Linked DNA regions of Drosophila melanogaster. The protein of the gene in region 3 purifies or fractionates together with the protein of the main gene of each other region. This does not show direct contact. Each region holds a gene or a part of one and is shown on either strand. Other genes may lie near its edges. The genes, in order: Su(var)2-HP2, Tdrd3 and vig.

The links.
Region 1: the proteins of vig (region 3) and Su(var)2-HP2 purify together in Drosophila melanogaster (affinity purification with western blotting, with the first as the bait; one study listed by BioGRID). This does not show direct contact.
Region 2: the proteins of vig (region 3) and Tdrd3 purify together in Drosophila melanogaster (affinity purification with western blotting; one study listed by BioGRID). This does not show direct contact.

What each region holds. Positions count from the first base shown.
Region 1 is NT_033778.4:14,614,983-14,619,876, reverse strand, and holds the start of Su(var)2-HP2 (Su(var)2-HP2), read left to right. Parts: upstream 1-1,758; 5' UTR 1,759-2,010; coding exon 2,011-2,059; intron 2,060-2,131; coding exon 2,132-2,449; intron 2,450-2,516; coding exon 2,517-2,831; intron 2,832-2,890; coding exon 2,891-3,034; intron 3,035-3,115; coding exon 3,116-3,367; intron 3,368-3,476; coding exon 3,477-4,894. Other genes in the region: CG12863 (uncharacterized protein), read left to right, coding at 1-44; Sec61beta (Sec61 beta subunit), read right to left, coding at 556-643, 707-918, 975-977.
Region 2 is NT_037436.4:14,785,078-14,790,516, reverse strand, and holds Tdrd3 (tudor domain containing 3), read right to left. Parts: upstream 3,727-5,439; 5' UTR 3,671-3,726; coding exon 3,636-3,670; intron 3,584-3,635; coding exon 3,499-3,583; intron 3,425-3,498; coding exon 1,304-3,424; intron 1,199-1,303; coding exon 929-1,198; 3' UTR 852-928; downstream 1-851. Other genes in the region: bmm (brummer), read left to right, coding at 4,439-4,598.
Region 3 is NT_033779.5:15,064,060-15,072,264, forward strand, and holds the start of vig (vasa intronic gene), read right to left. Parts: upstream 6,258-8,205; 5' UTR 6,087-6,257; intron 6,038-6,086; coding exon of another isoform or gene 4,975-6,037; intron 4,812-4,974; coding exon of another isoform or gene 4,424-4,811; intron 4,371-4,423; coding exon of another isoform or gene 4,347-4,370; exon of another isoform or gene 4,323-4,346; intron 4,020-4,322; exon of another isoform or gene 3,857-4,019; intron 3,631-3,856; 5' UTR 3,569-3,630; coding exon 2,878-3,568; intron 1,398-2,877; coding exon 1,131-1,397; intron 890-1,130; coding exon 375-889; 3' UTR 1-374. Other genes in the region: solo (sisters on the loose), read left to right, coding at 4,347-4,370, 4,424-4,811, 4,975-6,037, 6,364-7,984; vas (vasa), read left to right, coding at 4,347-4,370, 4,424-4,811.

The DNA.
Region 1 (4,894 bases), on a different chromosome or scaffold from region 3:
GGGAACAGTGTTTTATGAACGAAACAACAATTCAGTGTCTTTAAGATACATACAAATATATATGTACAAAGATAAATACAAATTGCATTTCTTTATATACTGAGGGGCACTTTAGACTGTATGCATTTATGCAGTTTATAAGAACAACACTGACAAAACCTTCACTACCATCCATAAACAACAGGGCACACATTTGTTTAATACAAAATTTATTTGTTCTTAACACTTTTCGTTGAATGTCTTACAAGTTCTTGAATTGCAACGGCTGCGCGCGGAATTTCTGATGCACATGACCACGATAAATTGTGGAATGAATTCTCAGCCCGCCGGATGAACGAACGGATTGGGGGAAAACGATTAAATTTTGAAAATATGCATTACGTTTAAACAGGTTTTTAACTTAAGCTTAGGTATAATTAATTTCATGTGGAAACACACCAATGCCTCAACAAGCGGAATGGATCTCTTCTTATCTCGCCGCAAAAGAAATGATGACGTCGACATTGTTCACGCTCGTTGAGGTGAAAGTATTTTATTGGCTACGAAATGCATGGCTTAAGAACGATTGTATTTGCCCCAAATGTGCAGCATGAAGACGGAAGCGATGAAGAGCAGCGACATGACCAGCACGGGTACGGGACCACTGCAGCAAAAGTCTCATTAGCACTGGGCCTTTAATATAAATATAGCCGAGTTATTCACTTACACTTTGATACCGGGCGAGTCGTCCGTGTAGAAACGCCACATGCCACCAGTTCCGGCTCCGCCGGGTGCACGGCTCCGGGCCGCTGTGGTGCTGGTGGTGGTCTTGCGCTGCTTCAGGGTGCTGCCGCCTCCGGATCCGGCGCTACGTGGCGCCGACAATTTGCTGGGGGAGCGCGATCCGCTGCCCACGGACGTTGAACTGGCTGGAGCGGGCTGGCAAATGTGTTTTAATTAGTTGCCGCACTCAATTGCCATCTAGTTTAACTCACCATTTTGGGCTATCTGTTCCTCTGGACCGACTGACCTGGAAAATATGAACGGGCGAAGTGGAATCTGAACGTGAATCTGAATCTGACGTGCTCGGCTTCGTGTCGCTTCGTCTTTTTTCGTTCCACGTCACTTTGGTGGTGGCACCGCTGCCGATAGGTCGTGACGCTGAGGTGACAGCTATCGTGCACTTAGACAGCTGGAGATGACAGGCTAAGGCAACTCAACTATCGGCTGCTTTGGCTCTAAAATGAACTAGTAAAAAAAAAACGAAGAAATAATATATTCAAGTTATGAATTTAATAGATAACAATAATAGATAAAATATTAATTCTACAAAATGAATTGTTTAAATCAATTTGAATGAATCCTATTAATATAATTGGCTATTATTAAAACTCCGATAATAAATGCTATTATTCTTGATTTCCCTTGATTTAATTATATAATACATACTTAATAACTATATAATTATATAGAATAAAAACTTAATCACGCATTTAATAGATCATATAGATATAGAATATATAGAAAATCAATGAAATCGATTTTGATAGCGATAATGTGCAACCTTGCATGTAAGTTATTTTTAGATTTTAGCTGGGCAAGCGCAATTTTCTTGGCGCGCACCAAACAATTTGTAAATAATATTTTTGCTTAACTGGTATTGGTTCGACTGCGAATCACTAAAAATTATTAAGTGACTTAAGCACCGTGTTTTAAACATTGTTAATCGGAACGGCCACACCGAAGCGCGGGCTCACTAAACGCTTTTGTCATTTTTGCACATCTGTACAACGTTCACGTTAATTGCAGCGGCATCATCTTTGCTGGATTTCAAAGGAATATTTTGCGGTGAAAAGAACGAAAAAGTGCTTGCATTTGTGCGCTAATGGGTATATGAGGTCCTTCTGCTAAAGGAATGCCAAGTCATACAAACTTTTCGCGATTCGCCTTAATGGAAATAGATAAGACGCGGCGCAGTTGAAAGATTGCAAATTGATCCACCGATCGACCGACGCACATGAAAAGTGAAGTATGGAGGACATTGAATATTTAGACGAGTACAAAGACTTGGTGCTGCCAGGTGCGTGATTTCAGCTTCCAATGCTATAAATACTTCTAATGTGATTTGTCTGTCTACTTTGCGCGCGCACAGGGATTAAATCGAGTGCTCCGACAGCATCTTCTGCCGGCGTTCCGCGGCAGCGGCGCATTTCATCAGACTCGAGCAACTCGTCGTCGATTGATGCGGACATTTTCCAAAAGCTCTTCCATGGCAAGTACCTCGACGACGAACTGCTTAAGGAGGGCTCTGGCTCGAAGTCGCAGGACAGGCGTCGACGCCCCCCATCTCCCTCCTCCAGCGACGAGTCCAACGATGCCTTGGAAGCCCTCTTCTGCGGGAAGAGCAGCCAGTCAAAGCTGAGCAAGAGGCGCGAACGGTATGAGTCGTTCGATTCGGTGGACGACCTAGGTGGGCATTTCGCAATGGTTTCAATGACGCATTTTATCAATAACATTTACTTTATGCCTACACTTAGGAGAAGCCCTAATGCGTCCATCGCACAGGCTGACCGTACCCAAGCCCAGTACCTCTCAGGCAGGTTCCAAAAAGTCACAAGATGCTGCCCCACACAGAAGCATTAGCAATAGCAGCAGCAGCAACATTGCCATGTCATCTGGGCAAACTTATGCATGTCCAAAAAACAAGAAAACCAATTCTGTGGCCAACAAGACAGCAGTATCTGCAAATGGTGATAAATGGGCTTCCGGCAAAAACAAGACCGTTACCATTGTAAAGCCCCAAAAAACAGATCTAAGGCCTTCGCGGCTTGAACCCAAAACAGATCCATTAAGTAAGTTCGATATTGTGCTACATATCTGGCTGTGCATAACCACTTCGTATTTTCCATAGATTTGGGTGACTTATACGGGGACTCTGACAGCGATTCGTCCTATGAGTATGAATCGGACTTTTACGGCGATCAAGACTCCGATGAAGAGGATGAGCCGGTGATCGACATTTCAACGGACACAAGCAGGACCACATCGGTGGCGGGTAAGTCAGCGTTATTAACTAGTTGATACTGCCAACCCTCTGATAATATTCATAATATGTAAACACACATAAACCGTGTAGACACTGTGACACCTGTTGTTTCCGACGACGAGGGCCAGGAGCCGCAGAGTGAGCTGAATCAGCGTCATGCGAATGATCAGGAGTCTTTTTTGAGCAGCACCTACGAACGCCTGCAGTCGTATTTGAGTAATCTCAGTTCCGCCGAGCCGCCGCCAATCTATAAGAAACAGAATAGTGCGAGAAAATCCCGCTCCAACGAAAAGAAACCCTCTTCTTCCCAACAGGTTAAGCATGCTAATGAGCAATCAGCGGGTAAGTGTGCACCAACGTCCATTGGGGCGTCCATTTCTGAGCGCCCTCGTGAACCCTTACCTCTGCTACACCCTTACATTTGTAACTTTTTCTGCTTTTTGTTTCGCAGCCAGTGACAAAGAGGCTAATAAAAAGGAGCGGGATTTGGAGCCACCGGAGGCGAGCAGCAGTGCGAAATCCTCGGCCAGCAAGGCTAGCGGTAGTCGCAAGCTGTATGACGTAGCTAATAATGCTACGCTTGAGGCTGTGGAGCGCATGAGTCTCGACCTGGCCGAGCAAATCATGGAGATCGATGTGGAGCGATCTTACGAGTTCGAAAAGCGGTCTGCCTCAAAGTCGCGTAGCTTATCCAGATCTAAGATTCCAGCAGATTCTAGCACCTCGCAATTGGGTCACGTGCGAAAGCTAACCTATTCGAGCGAAAGACTGGATCAACCGGAACCTTTGGGCACCCAGTTGCGTCGGTCGAAGAGCGAGTCCTTACCAAAGCGAGGTCGCCCTCGTGGCCAAAAGCAGCGTAAGAACCGTGGAGCAACCATGGAGGAAAAAAGTGCTAATTGCCGGGATGGGGAAGGAGAGCCAGTCAAAAGAAAACGCGGAAGGCCTCGCAAAATTATTCCAAAGGAGGAGGCTAAAACAGCAGAGACTGAAAATACAATTGAAAGCTTGAACACAAATGTTCCTCTCTCAATAGATACGAGCAAAGAAAATCCGGAAACGGAGACGGTTAATTTAGAAGTGCCAATAAAACAGGATGAACTAGTTAGCGATTTGGACAATGCCAAGGAGCTCACAGGATCTACCAATTTACCCCAGGATGATATTGAAATGGCGTCAAATCACCAAGAAACGGATCTTAAATGTGCTCCGGACAGGGTTGCGCTGGATAAGTCTGAGTCCACGCCAAAGGTCGAAGAAGAACAGCTTTGTAAAGTGGACACACCTAGTGATACTGCACTGGACGAAAGCAAAGTATCCGAAAGTGCAAAAAATCATATTGAATTGGAAGATAAGGATAAGGATAAGGAGGAAACTCAGAAGGAATCTCCCAATGGCAATTCGAAGGAAACCAATGAAAACTCGGTTATAGTTACTAATGAAGTTGAATTACCAGCTAAAAAGGCTGAAGCCAAGGCAGAAGCGGGAAATATTGTTGAGGAAAGCGACTCCCAACTTGCTGAGGATTTTAAATTGGCTGAAGAGATCTTAGCCGCTGAGGTTGGTAAGGGAGTTGAAGCCAACGAGGTATCAGTGACATCTGTGCAGGGAGAACAAAATCCAGTCATTGAAATTGTTAAAGAGTTAGAGCAAGAAACCATTTCGGAAGTCGTGCCCGCTCAGAATGATCAATCTTCAGTCGAAGACCAAACTTTAGCTGATAAAGAAAATCCAGTGGAAAAACCGTCTCCAGTTAAGGCACCATCCTCTAGTAAGGATGAACCACCTGCAGAAGAAAACTTGCCTGCTCCTGACCAGGATCCAATTGAACAACAGAAAACACCTGTAGCAAAAAATCAACAGCATGAC
Region 2 (5,439 bases), on a different chromosome or scaffold from region 3:
TGAATGGTGGGATCAATCATATTTTCCAGTATTTAAGAAGTGACACATGCAACACATTTAATGACGGGCAATAATAATTTAATTTCGTTTATTTTAATGCCATGTTAATTGCTCAATAAAATCGGCACAAAACATTGCACGAATATCGACAACCGTCGCTTTGCAACACCGCATGCGAACTTGACAACACTGGCGCATGTACTACACGATGATTTTGCCATCATATGAAAATATATGCGCACAATACATGCATATGACCGCATTGCACTTTTATCTGATTAGTCAGTTATTTATACGGCTCGTTAATCGTTTTGCATGCTCAGCAAGCAAAATTTACTGCGCTGAACCCTTTCCAGCGCGTTTATGGCAAGTCAGCCAGCCAGCTGTACACTTGCTGGCCAATTTGTGCGTACATTTCGGGCTTTTGCACTCTTTTTGCGTTACCTTTGCACTAAATCCTATTGTTTGTACACTACGGACTAATTCTATTTTACATGGTTAAGCACAAAACTATGAGAGAAAATGCACATCACGTCGAAAAATGTTAAAAATAAGTTATGTATGTATGAGGGAAAATTCGCGAAATGCACCAGTGCTGAGCAGCGGCGCGAAATAGTGCTGAACATGTCGCGCAGAAATCAGGGACAATCGATAGTACTGCGCCAGGAATTAATCGAATTCGAATAATGTTTACAAAGAAATGTTAATTACTAAATTATTAAATAAAACTTTGCTTAATTCAATTTTTCACGTTATAGGAGATATATTCACTTAATAGGTAAGACGTAATCAACAGTACGCTTTAAATTATATGAAAGTCAGCAGATTACAAAATACGTACTCATAGTTTTAATATTCTGTAAAGTTGTTTATTCGAAACATGTTAATTGATTTAAATACGTTGTTAACAGGCTGTTACCATGTTGTCTCAATGCTCTCGTTTGTGGGGCGGCACGTAGACTTGCTGCTGCTGCGTCTGACGATCTCCGCGGTAGCGTGAATGTTGCTGCTGCTGTAGATGCGGTTGCTGTTGCTGCAGATGCGGTTGCTGCTGCTGCGCTGAGTTGCTCAGTGGCCTGTTTTGGGCATCGGTGATGGGCAGGATGTCGACCTTCAATACCTCCTCATGGTTTCCATAGCCCATAAAGAAGACCACGCAAGTTTTCTCCGACACGCCCGTGATCTCAGCCTCATAATACTGGAAAATAAAGAAGGAATGATAAGTTAAGTTCAATAGATCAATTTGAATACTTTGTCCTACTACAATTACGAATGTACTTTCAGTTTATCGACCTAAACTCACCCTTCCATCGTCCCAATACTTGGCCATGCACAAGTCGCCCTTCTGCCACATCCACGCATCGCCTGGCACCATGCCGAACTGATCCCGTGGCGCAGCCTGTGGCACAGCCACTGGAGCAGGTTGCGCACGGGAAACAGGAGCGGAAACGGGGCCAAAGGACATGGGTGGCGATTCCTGCTGTTCCTCCTCCTGTTGTTTTTCGTTGGGCAGTGTAACACCCTGGCTCTTTAGAAGGTTCATGGCAAACTCGTTGGCCTCCTTGCTCTGGAAACCCATGATCTTGCTGGGATCGTAAGTGTAGCCATTCGCCAATTGACTGTAGTTCGCCTGCGAATTGTGCCTGGGATTGTGATGCTTTTGGTTGGTTTGAGCCTTCTCTGGCTTCTGCGAATGCAACTGTGCTGGCTGCTGCTGCTGCGTTGTTTCTGTGCCCGATCCCGCCAGGCGATTGGCTTGTCCTCCTTGCTTACGTCGATTCTCTCGCTTTGGCGCACTGCTCACCTTGAGATTAGCTGTTTCCTCGGTTATCTTACTCAAACGGGCGTTGAAATCATCGCCAGCACTATTTGTCGATTTCGCTGCAGAACTCGCCGAAGTTAAGCTTGCTGCCGGCTTGTTTCGTCTGTTGCCATTGGCGTTGCCGTTCTCTGCTCGATTGGAGCCTCCACGATTGCTGCCTCGTTCGCTGCCACGTCGGTTGCCAGTGTGGTCCTTCCCATTGGTTGTTTCATGATCTGGCTTAATCTCGGAATTCGGTTTCAACGATACGTTATCCGAGCCATTGCGATTTGCGGTTTTTACGGTTGGCGTTTCTGGTTTGTAACGTCCAGCTGCACGATCATTGAACGCTCCTCGCTCTCGCGGTGGTCTCTCCTCTTTCGGCGGTTTTTCTTCCCTCGGAGGCCTGTCTTCCCTGTAGGCTCGCTCCTCTCTTGGTGGCCTTTCGTCCCTGCCGCCACCCCGGTTACGGCCACCGCCTCGCGACGAACCCACATGTCCACCACGATGTGCGGCAAAGCTGCTCGATACGTTGTTCTCAAACCTAGAACGATCTGCAAACTTGCCGCCTCCGCCCATAGCTGAAGGTTTGCTCTCGGAATCGCTGAAGCGCGAGCTTCCATATTGCTTAAATGGATTGAAGTGATTGGTAGTGGGTGGGGCAGTCGGAGCGGCAGTTGGAGCGGCAGCGAAGGTTTCTGCATTACTAGCGGCCGGTGTTTCCTTGGCGGGCAGTTTATTGGTTAGGAAATCAAACAGCGTGGTGTTGGCAGCCGGCTTGGGTGCTTCAACTTCGTCCTTGGCGCTAGCTCCACGCTTTCCCTCTCTGGGCGGACGATCTCCGCGTCCCGGACGACCCACGGATTCGATCGGACCCACACCGCCAGCTTCACTGCGTCTTTTTAGATTGTATAGGGCGCGCTCCAAGTTGTTTCGGGTAGCAGATAAGGCACTGCGGGCCTCCTCCTCGCTGAAGCCCTTGTCTAGGATCTTCTTAACATTGTGATCGATAATGTTCTGGCCACCGCCGCCAAAGATCTTCTTGCCGCCGGCCTTGGTGGCCACGGCAATGGCCTCTGTGCGCATGGCATTGAACTCTTCGTTCTCCTTTGCCGGCTTGTCCTTGTCGCCCTCGCCCAGGCTCTTAAAGTTCATTTCGCTTTCGGCGTTGCTATCGATTTTTCGGCCAAATGCCACCCACGGGGGTGGCGCTGATGTCCCATTCAAGGGGCGCCCACTGCGCGCATATCTCATCATGGTCCTGGCCAGATCCCATTTCTCGTAGAGTGCATCCACACGGCCGCCGAGCAGCTGAATTTCACTGGACTTTAGCAGCAGGAATCCCTGCATAAGCTGCAGTTTCTCGGCCTTGAAATAGATCTTGCTTCCGGGAGCCACATTGAGATTCAGTTGGGGAACTGGCTCCAGCTCCAAGGCCTTTATGGAATTCTGCCCATCACTCAGATCCAACTGAAGGAGGCGTGGCGCCGCCTTCGATTCCTCATTCGCCTTGGGAGCGGCAATATTTCGCACACGCTGAACCTGCAGCACAATTTTACCGGGCAAAGTGGCATCTTCGCGTTTCGCGGGCAGTGCGCCACCGCCAATATCGCGCAGATCTCGCTGCAAAGTGTGAGTAATAGGTTATAATTAATAATTACACAGAATGCTGAGCAGCCGGTTCGCCTACAACTCACATTCAGTGCATCATTGACTATTTTCCGGACATCCTCGCTGCCGACGGCTGTTGTCACGATTTTAAGGCCCTCCTCTGTCAGGTACCTGCGTAAATCGTTAAGAAGCATTGTATGCCACAATTTAAAATTGTACTTACCACCCGACTTCTCGTAGTTTCTTGCCTAATTCCATTTTTTCATGAAGACGATTTTTTTGCAACTCCGGACTAGGGATGACAAAAGTATTAGATGTGTGTACTCGCTAGTGATGTGCTTGGCGGCAACTATCGGCTGACGGTGCATACTATTATCGTTTAAGTTTAGGTTGTTTAGTAATATTAAATGCTTTCTTAAAATCTAAAAATTTTAATATTTCTTGCACACTTATTCAAATTAAATATAATATATATATTATGTCCCAAGAGATAATGTCAAAATTGGGTGCAACACATATACTAGCATATATATTTTTGATAGATGTACTTATATATCGATAATTAAATTTTATCAGTTATAAAGAATTGGCATTATAAATCGATTTAAAGTCGTAATATCTACATGTTTAGAACAAACAAAAGAGTACCCTATACGCACAGCCACTCTAATGACAGTTCTAGTTTAGGTGGTAAAGCGAATAAAATGCGGTCACACCGCGCCGCAATGAATGTATAAAAGGGGGCTGCCATCCGCAGAGCGAGTAAATAACGGTTCGCGAGCAACAACTTTTCATTTCGAGAGCGGAGTAATTTTTCCAGCCGACCGACAAACAGTGATTGAAAACCCAAACGAGATTTATTTCGAAACGCGACAAGAAATTGTTACATCAAAGGAGCTGCAACGACTAAAATCCGCGAAGAAAGTGCGAGAAAATACCTTAAAGAGAGAAAAAACCAGTGACGCAGTAGCAACAACAACAAACAGTCATCGAACGATTTATAGAATCTAACGCCGAGTCCAAAGCATGAATCTATCATTCGCTGGCTGCGGATTCCTGGGCATCTACCACGTCGGAGTGGCCGTCTGCTTCAAGAAGTATGCACCGCATCTGTTGCTGGAGAAGATCGGAGGCGCTTCGGCCGGTTCCCTGGCCGCCTGCTGTCTCCTCTGCGATTTGCCATTGGGTAAGTCTCTTCCCACTTGCTTACATGGGTGGGTCTAGAGAGGGAAGCTTTCGGAATCATTAAGATCTGCCAACTATATGATAGCGATTCTCCAAGGCGAAACAAAAATAAATTTTTTATTTTGCTTTGCATAAATCTTAATTTGTTAAGTTTCTTGTTTCTTTTCACACTCCGCGTCTGAACTTGGCCTTTGCACAATGTTTTCTGCTTGGGAAAACCCCTGTGAATATTTTCTGCACCCCTCTGGTGTTTTCTCTACTGCTCTCCCCTCTTCGTGCAGAATGCACACACACGAACACACTCACACTTGCGTTCGCAAAACAGCTGAGTGCAAAAGCAACCACACTGGGCAGTTCAGTGACTCTGTGAGTGGGAGTGAGAAAGAGAGCGAGTGGGAGTGGGAGAGCGCGAAAGATGCTGCGAGGCTCAATATAAAACGCATTGAATTGAATTTTATTGATAAGCTTGTTTGCGTTTGTAGGTCGCTAGGAAGTCAATGGGGATCTTTCATAATTGACTGCGATAGTGTGTGTGTGTTTTTGGGCGTGTTTGTCCAATTTCGAAGGGGGCTCGTCCCATCCGCTCAAAAGAAAACTGCGGCGCAGTTGAAAAACCTTACGAAAACAGAAAAACAAGTTTCGTATGCCCGGGACAACGCACTTTTGTAAAGCGGCACCCGAATATATGGGCAAATGGTTGGGCACAGCGGTGGGTATATGAATAGCAACGCAGTCCGAAAACATTTCATCAAATACTTTTGCAAAGAGAATAAACTAAATACTTATGCTATGAGATTAGCCAGAAACTTTATAAATCTAAATTGAAGATAAAATCACTCACA
Region 3 (8,205 bases):
ACACTGACTAGTTTACACGAGGTCACTTGCTTGATCGCGATTTTATCGTGTAAAATCTGATTTAGTTGGCCACGTATAAACTAAAATTGCTTTTCGTGTGTTCTCTTTTCATATATCTTTAAACATATGTATAATTTATTATCCGTTTTTTTTTACTTAGCTTGTTGGTTGGTATTTTTGTTGCTTTTGGCTTATAATGGCGGCTACAATTGTTTTCGTAATTTCCCCATTTTTCTTTTAGTTTTTAAAAAGTTTGTTGTCTGTGATATACGTAATTTATAAGTTTTCATTTTGGTAACTTGCTGCTTTCATTCACCATCGTCAGTAACCAAAACTGCAATTTGAGGAACCTACTCCTGCCCAAAACGATCGATTTAAGCCAGAGTGGGAAACTGACGCTCATCGTTGACCTTGGGAGCGGTGTTCTGTTGTCGCTCAAAACGCTTATTCGGCCCTGGACCGCTGTTCTGATTGTTGTTCTGGTTGTTTCCCGGACCGCGACGATCGATGGGTGGCCTTTGATTTTGAGCGGATGAACCGCCGCCCTCGTTATTATGCTGCTGGCCATCCCGTGGGCCACGGTTTCCACCCTCACGATTATCTCGGCCGCCCTCACGATTGCCGCCATCGCGGTTGCCACCCTCGCTGCGTGGTCCGCCTCCAAATCCACCGGGTCTGGGGCCTCCACGGCCACCGCGTCCACCGAAACCGCCAGGTCCGCCACGACGACCATCGTTGAAATTGAACTGAATGTCCAGGACGCGCTGTTGCCTGCCCACACGCTGTGGATAAAGGGCAGGGTCGTACTCGAGCTCCTCTTCGCTGTCGTTCTCCTTCTTCTTGTTGCTAGTTAGGACGACCATTTTCTTCCATTGTGTGGTGTCCTCACCTGCGGGAAATATTGATTGTAGATTAATTTCTAGATGATAGGCCATCATTTAGAGTTAAGCTAAGATCGGTTTGATTTTCAATTTTATACTTCTTTTATACGGATTTTAGCTCAATATGATTTGTAACTTTGGTTGTTGGCTTGGCGAAAAGGTTTCTTAGAATAACGGAAGTTAAACTATCATTCCGTGGTATCGAATTCAAATTATTAACCATAAAAAAATTATGCATTGTTCACGCACCTTCTCCAGCCTTGCGGATATTAAAGGTTGGCTTGATGCGCTGTCCTTGCTGTGCCTTCCACTCGTCCAAGGTCAGCTCTTTGGCTTCCTCCTCGGCGGTAGCCTGCTCGTTTTGTGGTTCAGTGCCAGATTCATCGGCCTTGGCGCCGCCCTCGGCATTGGTCACATTGGTTTCGCTTTCGTTCTTGTTCACATCATCAATAGCCTCCTTGACCGATCCCCAGTTGTGGGAGCCAGCTCCATCGCGTTTGTCAATTGACTTCACACCTGTGCATAAAGAAAGTATCAAATATTAATAATGATTTATGTCTGCTTAAATTCAGAAACGTCAAGAAGCGGAAAATCTGAGCTTCTATATTTGCAAATTTTAGCCACAGCTATAGTGCAACTTGCCTGCAAGCCCTAAAGTAAGTTTTTCTGCTTAATTTATTAACTGAATACTTTAATTATTAGCCAAATAATGGTCTATTTTATCAATACCCCACTAATTAGGTCAATTGAGAAGTAACCACGATAGGGGGACTATATTCACTGCCCTCGCTCGCATAGTCACAGATAAGCCGACAGTAGCAGCCCCAGTTCACTGTAATCAGATTCAGTGGGGGAACTATTCCAACCCCTGTTTCCCCCCAATGATTATGCCTGCAAAGGCCTCCTACAAGCACTTGCGTTAGACGGGAATGCCGCCAAGAAGATGGGCGAACTATTTTTAACACATTTTCTCTTTCGATTTGTGCCGCAGTGCTTCTTGTTTCTGTTGCTGCCGGCCGCTGTGATATTATAATTTTGGATATTCCAAAAACGAAGCGGTCGGTCTAAGCAGGCAGTGGAAAACGGGGGAAAACGCGGCGAAATAGATTTCATTCAATGGAAAGAAGTGTGATGTAGCTTGTTGAATGTTCTGTCCGACCATTAGTATTGATTTGACTCACTTATCCCCCACGTGAGTGGGAGATTTGCCTGTGTTGTTTGACCATTGCCCATAAGTTCATCGGGATTTTGTGTGCCACAAATTGGTTTACACCGTTCTCCCGCACTTTTCGTGAAATTGCTTGGCATAAACAATATATATTTAAACTGATTTATAATGCAACTGTTTAAATATTACTATCCATTAAATAAGATTGGCAATCTGCTCGGAGCAGGCTAATAAATATTTTATACTTTGAAATACATTAAATTCATGATTTAGATTAGCTATAGAAATCTTAAATCAATTGATGGAAATTTCACATAGTTTATTAAAAGGAATCGCATTTCAAACACCGAACGAATTCCAGTTTCTTTTAAATATTTGTTGTGTACACAGAAGATTGGAATCATGTTGCTTGAAGGCGACTAATAATTTCTCATGACTATAAACATGGTAATTGGTTACGCGTAAACTGTGGATGGAATTTGTTTTTCCTGCGTTGCCTGCTGAGTTTTATTTTCTGGTTGTCATGGAGTGTGGCTTTTGGTTTATTTGTTAATTTTTTCGTATGGGCGCGCTCGTTTTATGGTTATGTCTACCCCTTGGTGGTTCAACTTTAGTTTCGATCTTATCAACAGAAACATTAACTATTCATATGCGAAAAAATGGTCATTAATCTAAACGATTTACTCCCTAAATATCCCATCTTCTCTATCCTTTTTACTAAGTATACTTCTCTGTAAAGACTTTAATGTGATCTACACTGTATCTACTTGACTTGACCCCTAACCCATTTGGTACCTTAATGCCTTAATGAAATGACCACACACTCACCAGTTCTATCGGAACCCGACTGGCGGTCGAACTCGCGCTTCCTGTTCTGGCCATCGTAGTTGCGGTTCTGACGCTGGGGACGATCTCCGCCAGCACCTGGGCCTCCACCTGGTCCGCGGTAAGGTCGCGACTGCTGGCCATCGGGTGCTCCGACGTTTTCGCGGACATTGCGGCGATTGTTGCGCTGCTCACGAGTCTCGGCATTGCCATTCTGTTGACGGAAGTTTACGCTGCGCTGCTGCTGGCCACCTTGTCCTTGACCCTGTCCTTGACCGCTACCAAATTCACGTGTTCGGTTGGCGCCACCTCCTTGCCGTGGAGCACCCTGTTGTTTGTAATTGCTGCTGGCGTTATTATTGAACTGCTGCTGTTTGTTGTCGGCCGATGGAGTGAACTTCTTGCCATCGGTTTTGTTTAACGCATTATTGGGCTTGTTCTCCTTTTCGGCCTGATTTGGTTTCTTGGCATTGGGTCCACCAATATTGGATCCTGCGTTCGCCTTGTTATTGCTGTTGGCCACCTTGTTGGCGGTCGTTTTGGTGGCCGCTGCAGCAGCAGCTGACGGTTGCTTCTTCTTGCCAGCTGCTGCTGCGGCAGCAGCGGCCGTCGGCGCCACAAGATTATCTAATGGATCGCTGACATCGTCGTCCATGAACAAAAGTTCATAACGATTTTTACCGGCGCTGTCCATGATTTTGTGGGTGGGTGTGTTTTTCGTTGCTAGCTGGCTGCCGCTTTAATTGCCTTTTTGCTCTGTAAAAAGAAATAAATACACACAGTTTTAGTGGGAATTGATTGATTTTCCTTTTTCGCCCGCCGCCTCTCACACCCTGTGAGATTCGATAGGATTTCTTTTTCGTGTCACAAACTATGGTCTAATATGGCATATATTCGCTGGATTTATGGTTTACGACATTAACACGTGGACTAACGTGAATTTACTCAATTTATTTAGGCCCTTTGGGTGGATTTTTCTTACTTTTCTGCTGGCTGTTTGGTGGCTGCTGCTCTCTAACCTTAATTTTCAGTGTTTCTTCTTCGCCTCGCTGCTAGTATTACCTACACACACTGCCTCACGCGATTCCACACGCACATGGGCCAAATCACGCACACCACAGTCAGCACGAACAGAGCGCCCACATGTGTTCTTGGTATACATAGAAAAACAGAAACTCACGTTTTTCAACGCGTTTCGCGGCGAATGTCGCAAATCGATTCGAATGGCAGCTGTGTTTAGCGGGCTCTCGATTTGGCGGGCACTTTTTAGTTTGAAGTGCAAGCCAATTTCATTAGTTGGAGAATATGTGAAAAATTGAGCAAATTATATAAATTGGTACAAAATGTTGGAGCATATATTATAAGAATTCATAATTCAATACTTTAGAAATGAACGTATTAAGTTATTGCTTTTATACTTATATAGAATTAATTTTTTTTTCTTTCAGCCAAATTAAAAAAAAAATATCAATATGTCTGACGACTGGGATGATGAGGTTCGTATTGCTTCGTACAAAGAATATATGCTTACTAAGCCTATCTATTTTAGCCCATTGTTGATACTCGCGGCGCCCGCGGTGGAGATTGGAGCGATGATGAGGACACGGCCAAGAGCTTCAGCGGCGAAGCTGAAGGCGATGGTGTTGGAGGGAGCGGTGGTGAAGGCGGCGGCTACCAAGGAGGAAATCGAGATGTGTTCGGAAGGATCGGCGGAGGCAGAGGAGGAGGAGCTGGAGGTTATCGAGGAGGAAATCGAGATGGAGGGGGCTTCCACGGTGGACGTCGCGAGGGAGAAAGGGACTTCCGCGGTGGAGAAGGCGGCTTCCGCGGTGGACAAGGCGGCTCCCGCGGTGGACAAGGCGGCTCCCGCGGGGGACAAGGCGGCTTCCGTGGTGGAGAAGGCGGCTTCCGCGGTCGGCTGTACGAAAACGAGGATGGTGAGTAAACCTTTTGGACGACATGTTAAATTTTGGGTTATGGTCATTTGAGTCATTCCTGCTGAATTCCATGTGGTGTGCTTTGTTTTGTCAAGTAGTTTGTTTTCTTTTGTTTTGTGTATGCATATTTGCCCAATTGGTGGCAAATTGGCCAACATTCTAGCTAAGGAACTGCCGCCGATCCCATCTAGCTGCGATAAGGATGAGGTGGGCGCATTCATCGATCAGCTGGACTTGAGCAAGTACACGACCAGCCTAGCACTGATTCGAAAATTGCGTGACTACTTGCTGACTGCATTTAAGGCTTTGGTGAACCAAGCATGGGCTTCTCTCGAGAAATTAGCTCAAGAAAAGCGTGCACAAAAGGCACATCAGATACGCGAAACAACAGATATGATGAATCGCCTTATGGAGGACATGGGCCGATTGATTCGTGAAGGTGAACATGAGGAAGCAAATGGGATTGGGATGGGATTTCAAAGCATTGATGCGGATTGCAGAGCTGATTTGTCGCAATGGAGGAATTTACAGCAAGTTGTGATGCCGCAATCTTCGGAGATCAGAGATGGACAAACAAACAGGACAAGCGGTACTGAGGGCGGTCGATCAGGAGGTTTAACCGATGGCGATGACTTAACCGAAATACAAAGCGCCGCATACGCCGTGTATCATCAGGTTTTGGATCGAGGTTACCAAACGGGTCGACGGCTGTATGATGATAATCAAGGAGCATTGAGAGAAGATTCTATTCCAACAGAAGACCGAGAACACCCAGAAAATAATCAAGTGGATGGATCAACATATGGAGTGACTAGATTTCTGCACTGGCTAAGTGAGAACTTTGTCACTCGGCATGAAATAAGGGCCGTACGTTTTGGCAGTCCGCATATGGTTTTTCAATCTTATGACTGGCCAGAGTCTCCAAAGCAGCACATTTCGACGGTCCATCAAAAAGGCATATTTTATTCTCAGCCCTTAATTAGGACACGCATAATAGCCACTGTTGCGAGCGAGCCAAACAATTCGAGTAGTGGTCAGCTCAGCAGTATGGTAAACTTGGCACGACATCAGCGGTCGCAAAATCAGGAAACGCCAGATGGAATTTACGTTAGTCGCTACAATGCAACTGGAGATGAGGAGACTCCCTGCTCCGCAACCGGAGTCCCCGGCAGAGTTGTGGCTCTGCGTGCTTCGAGCACCCCAAATGAACATAGGAGCGATCCAGGGTACTTAAACCAACTCTAACTAGTCTAGTCTAGCGCTTTTCTTTCTTACCATCTATGGATACTTTTTATTCCCTTTTTCCAATGAGCGGTTGTGTAGAAAAGAGCAGATTTCAAACATTTAAAGATTACATAAAAGAAAAAAAAAAACACCAAATTTAGCCAGACACCGAAACAATTTATAGGAAATTTGATTAGAGAAGTACCTTAATGCAGTATAAATTCAGCTTACTTTTCTATATGTACATATTTTCCATCTCTTCGCTTACTTTCGTTTCCTTCTCTATAACTTAAATGAACACATAAGCTAAGTAATGTCCGTTTCACAGCTTGTCTTTTATACCCAATTTGACTTACGAAGATGGGACCATACCATCATTGGCAGCAGGCGGCGCTGCATCGACACCGTTGGCTCCATCACTGCCAGCAGAGCATTCATTGGGGTTAGAAATGGATAGCAACACTTTGGTGGTACCAGCTGATGCGGATGAAACCCGCTTAGTCGGACATCCAGGATCAACAGTGGTTCGTTCTCGGCTTGGAGGCCCTCCAGCATCAACACCTTTACTATCATTCCGACCTAGACTGCCGGTCATTGACGAAGAGCATCATCTACGCTTTACCAGGGTGTCACGCGAGCTGCAAATGAGTGTTGCTTTCCCGCCGGAAGAGACAACACTAAGCGAGCAACGTGAGTGGGGCTCGATTTTCCGACCACGTGATGAAATGGTTAACTATGCCGAAGGTCCACCTCCTCGCCAAACACAAAGGGCGCGTCGTCGCTCGCGTACACGCAGACGACGTAATCGTATCGCTTCAGCTGCCAGCCCGCAACTAACACCGGAACGAATTGTCCGTCGCGAGGAAGCCTTCCAAAGCAGCCGACATATTGCAGCCACTTTTATGTCCAGCTTGCTACAAAATGCAGCTGGAGAAGTGACGACGTCTTCAGGTCTGGCAGTAACCCGTTCAGTGAAAGAAATAACGACATCAGTCCATATCACCCGAAATGTACTACAAGAGGAGGTACCACCGACCACAGAAGCAACGACGACCTCCCTAGAAGTTGCACAGGCAACAGGGTATTCGGATTCTGGGGCTTGTATGCAATCTGCAGCGTTCTCTCAAGATCTTCCTGTAGTAGCTCCCTTGGAGATATCTGGAAATGCATCAAGTGACCAAGCATCATTTGATCAAGCTTTGGCCTTACTGCCTCCCATAAATTCCACTCCAATAGGTCAGCATCCAATTGCTGTTTTCGGACCTAAAACCGAAATTGAAATTAAACCCCAAAAAATGGACATCTCTAATATGATGAATACATCGGTTCCACCAATGCCAATGGAAGTCGACGAAGTTCCACTGGAGGTATCAAACACTTTGGCCAATATGAGCGATCACGCTTATGTGACTGATATACAGATACTACCGTCGTTGCAACTCAATTCTTTGAATCTTGTTAGCACCAATATTACAGACAATGCAGTAAATATCGCCCCATCGACATCAACAAATGATTTGCAAACGCCAAGTGACCGCAGAACATCAATGCAAAATCAACTATATCGAGTGTCCATGAACGATTTGGCATATATTTCACAACACGCTAATGTGGTTCGTCTGATGGTAGATCGTCAAGAGGAACTAGGGGCACAGGTCAGCTCCCTGGGGCCTTTTAAGGAAAATAGCCAAGGCGCGCTAAATTTTAGTACAATGCCCGCTGTCAAAGTCTACGATCCACGTATAATTCAGAACATTCAGAAGGATAAGATGAGAGTAGTTCATGGGCTCTTCGGTGCTCTTATCAGACAGTCCCAGGTTGATATGCACAATGCACCATTCATCCGAAATCGCAAGGATGCGTTGATGGCATATCGCTTTTTACTCGAGCTTAAGACTGCAAATATTATAAGTCTTAGCTCGGATGGTAGATTTTTCGGGCTGCTCTAATCAAATAAAAAGCATTTTAATTTTAAAAATACAAAAAAAATTTAATATTAGTTTGCTTAAATAATTTAATAAAGTTGAACGTGGTATTAGAATCATCGCCATTTCTTATTATTCGTTGACATTAAATTGTTATATTGTCCGTGATTAGCTAATAAATTGGTACAGAAACAGTATTAAAATAAAATACACAATTTAAAAATGAATTTTAGTTTTGGTTATGA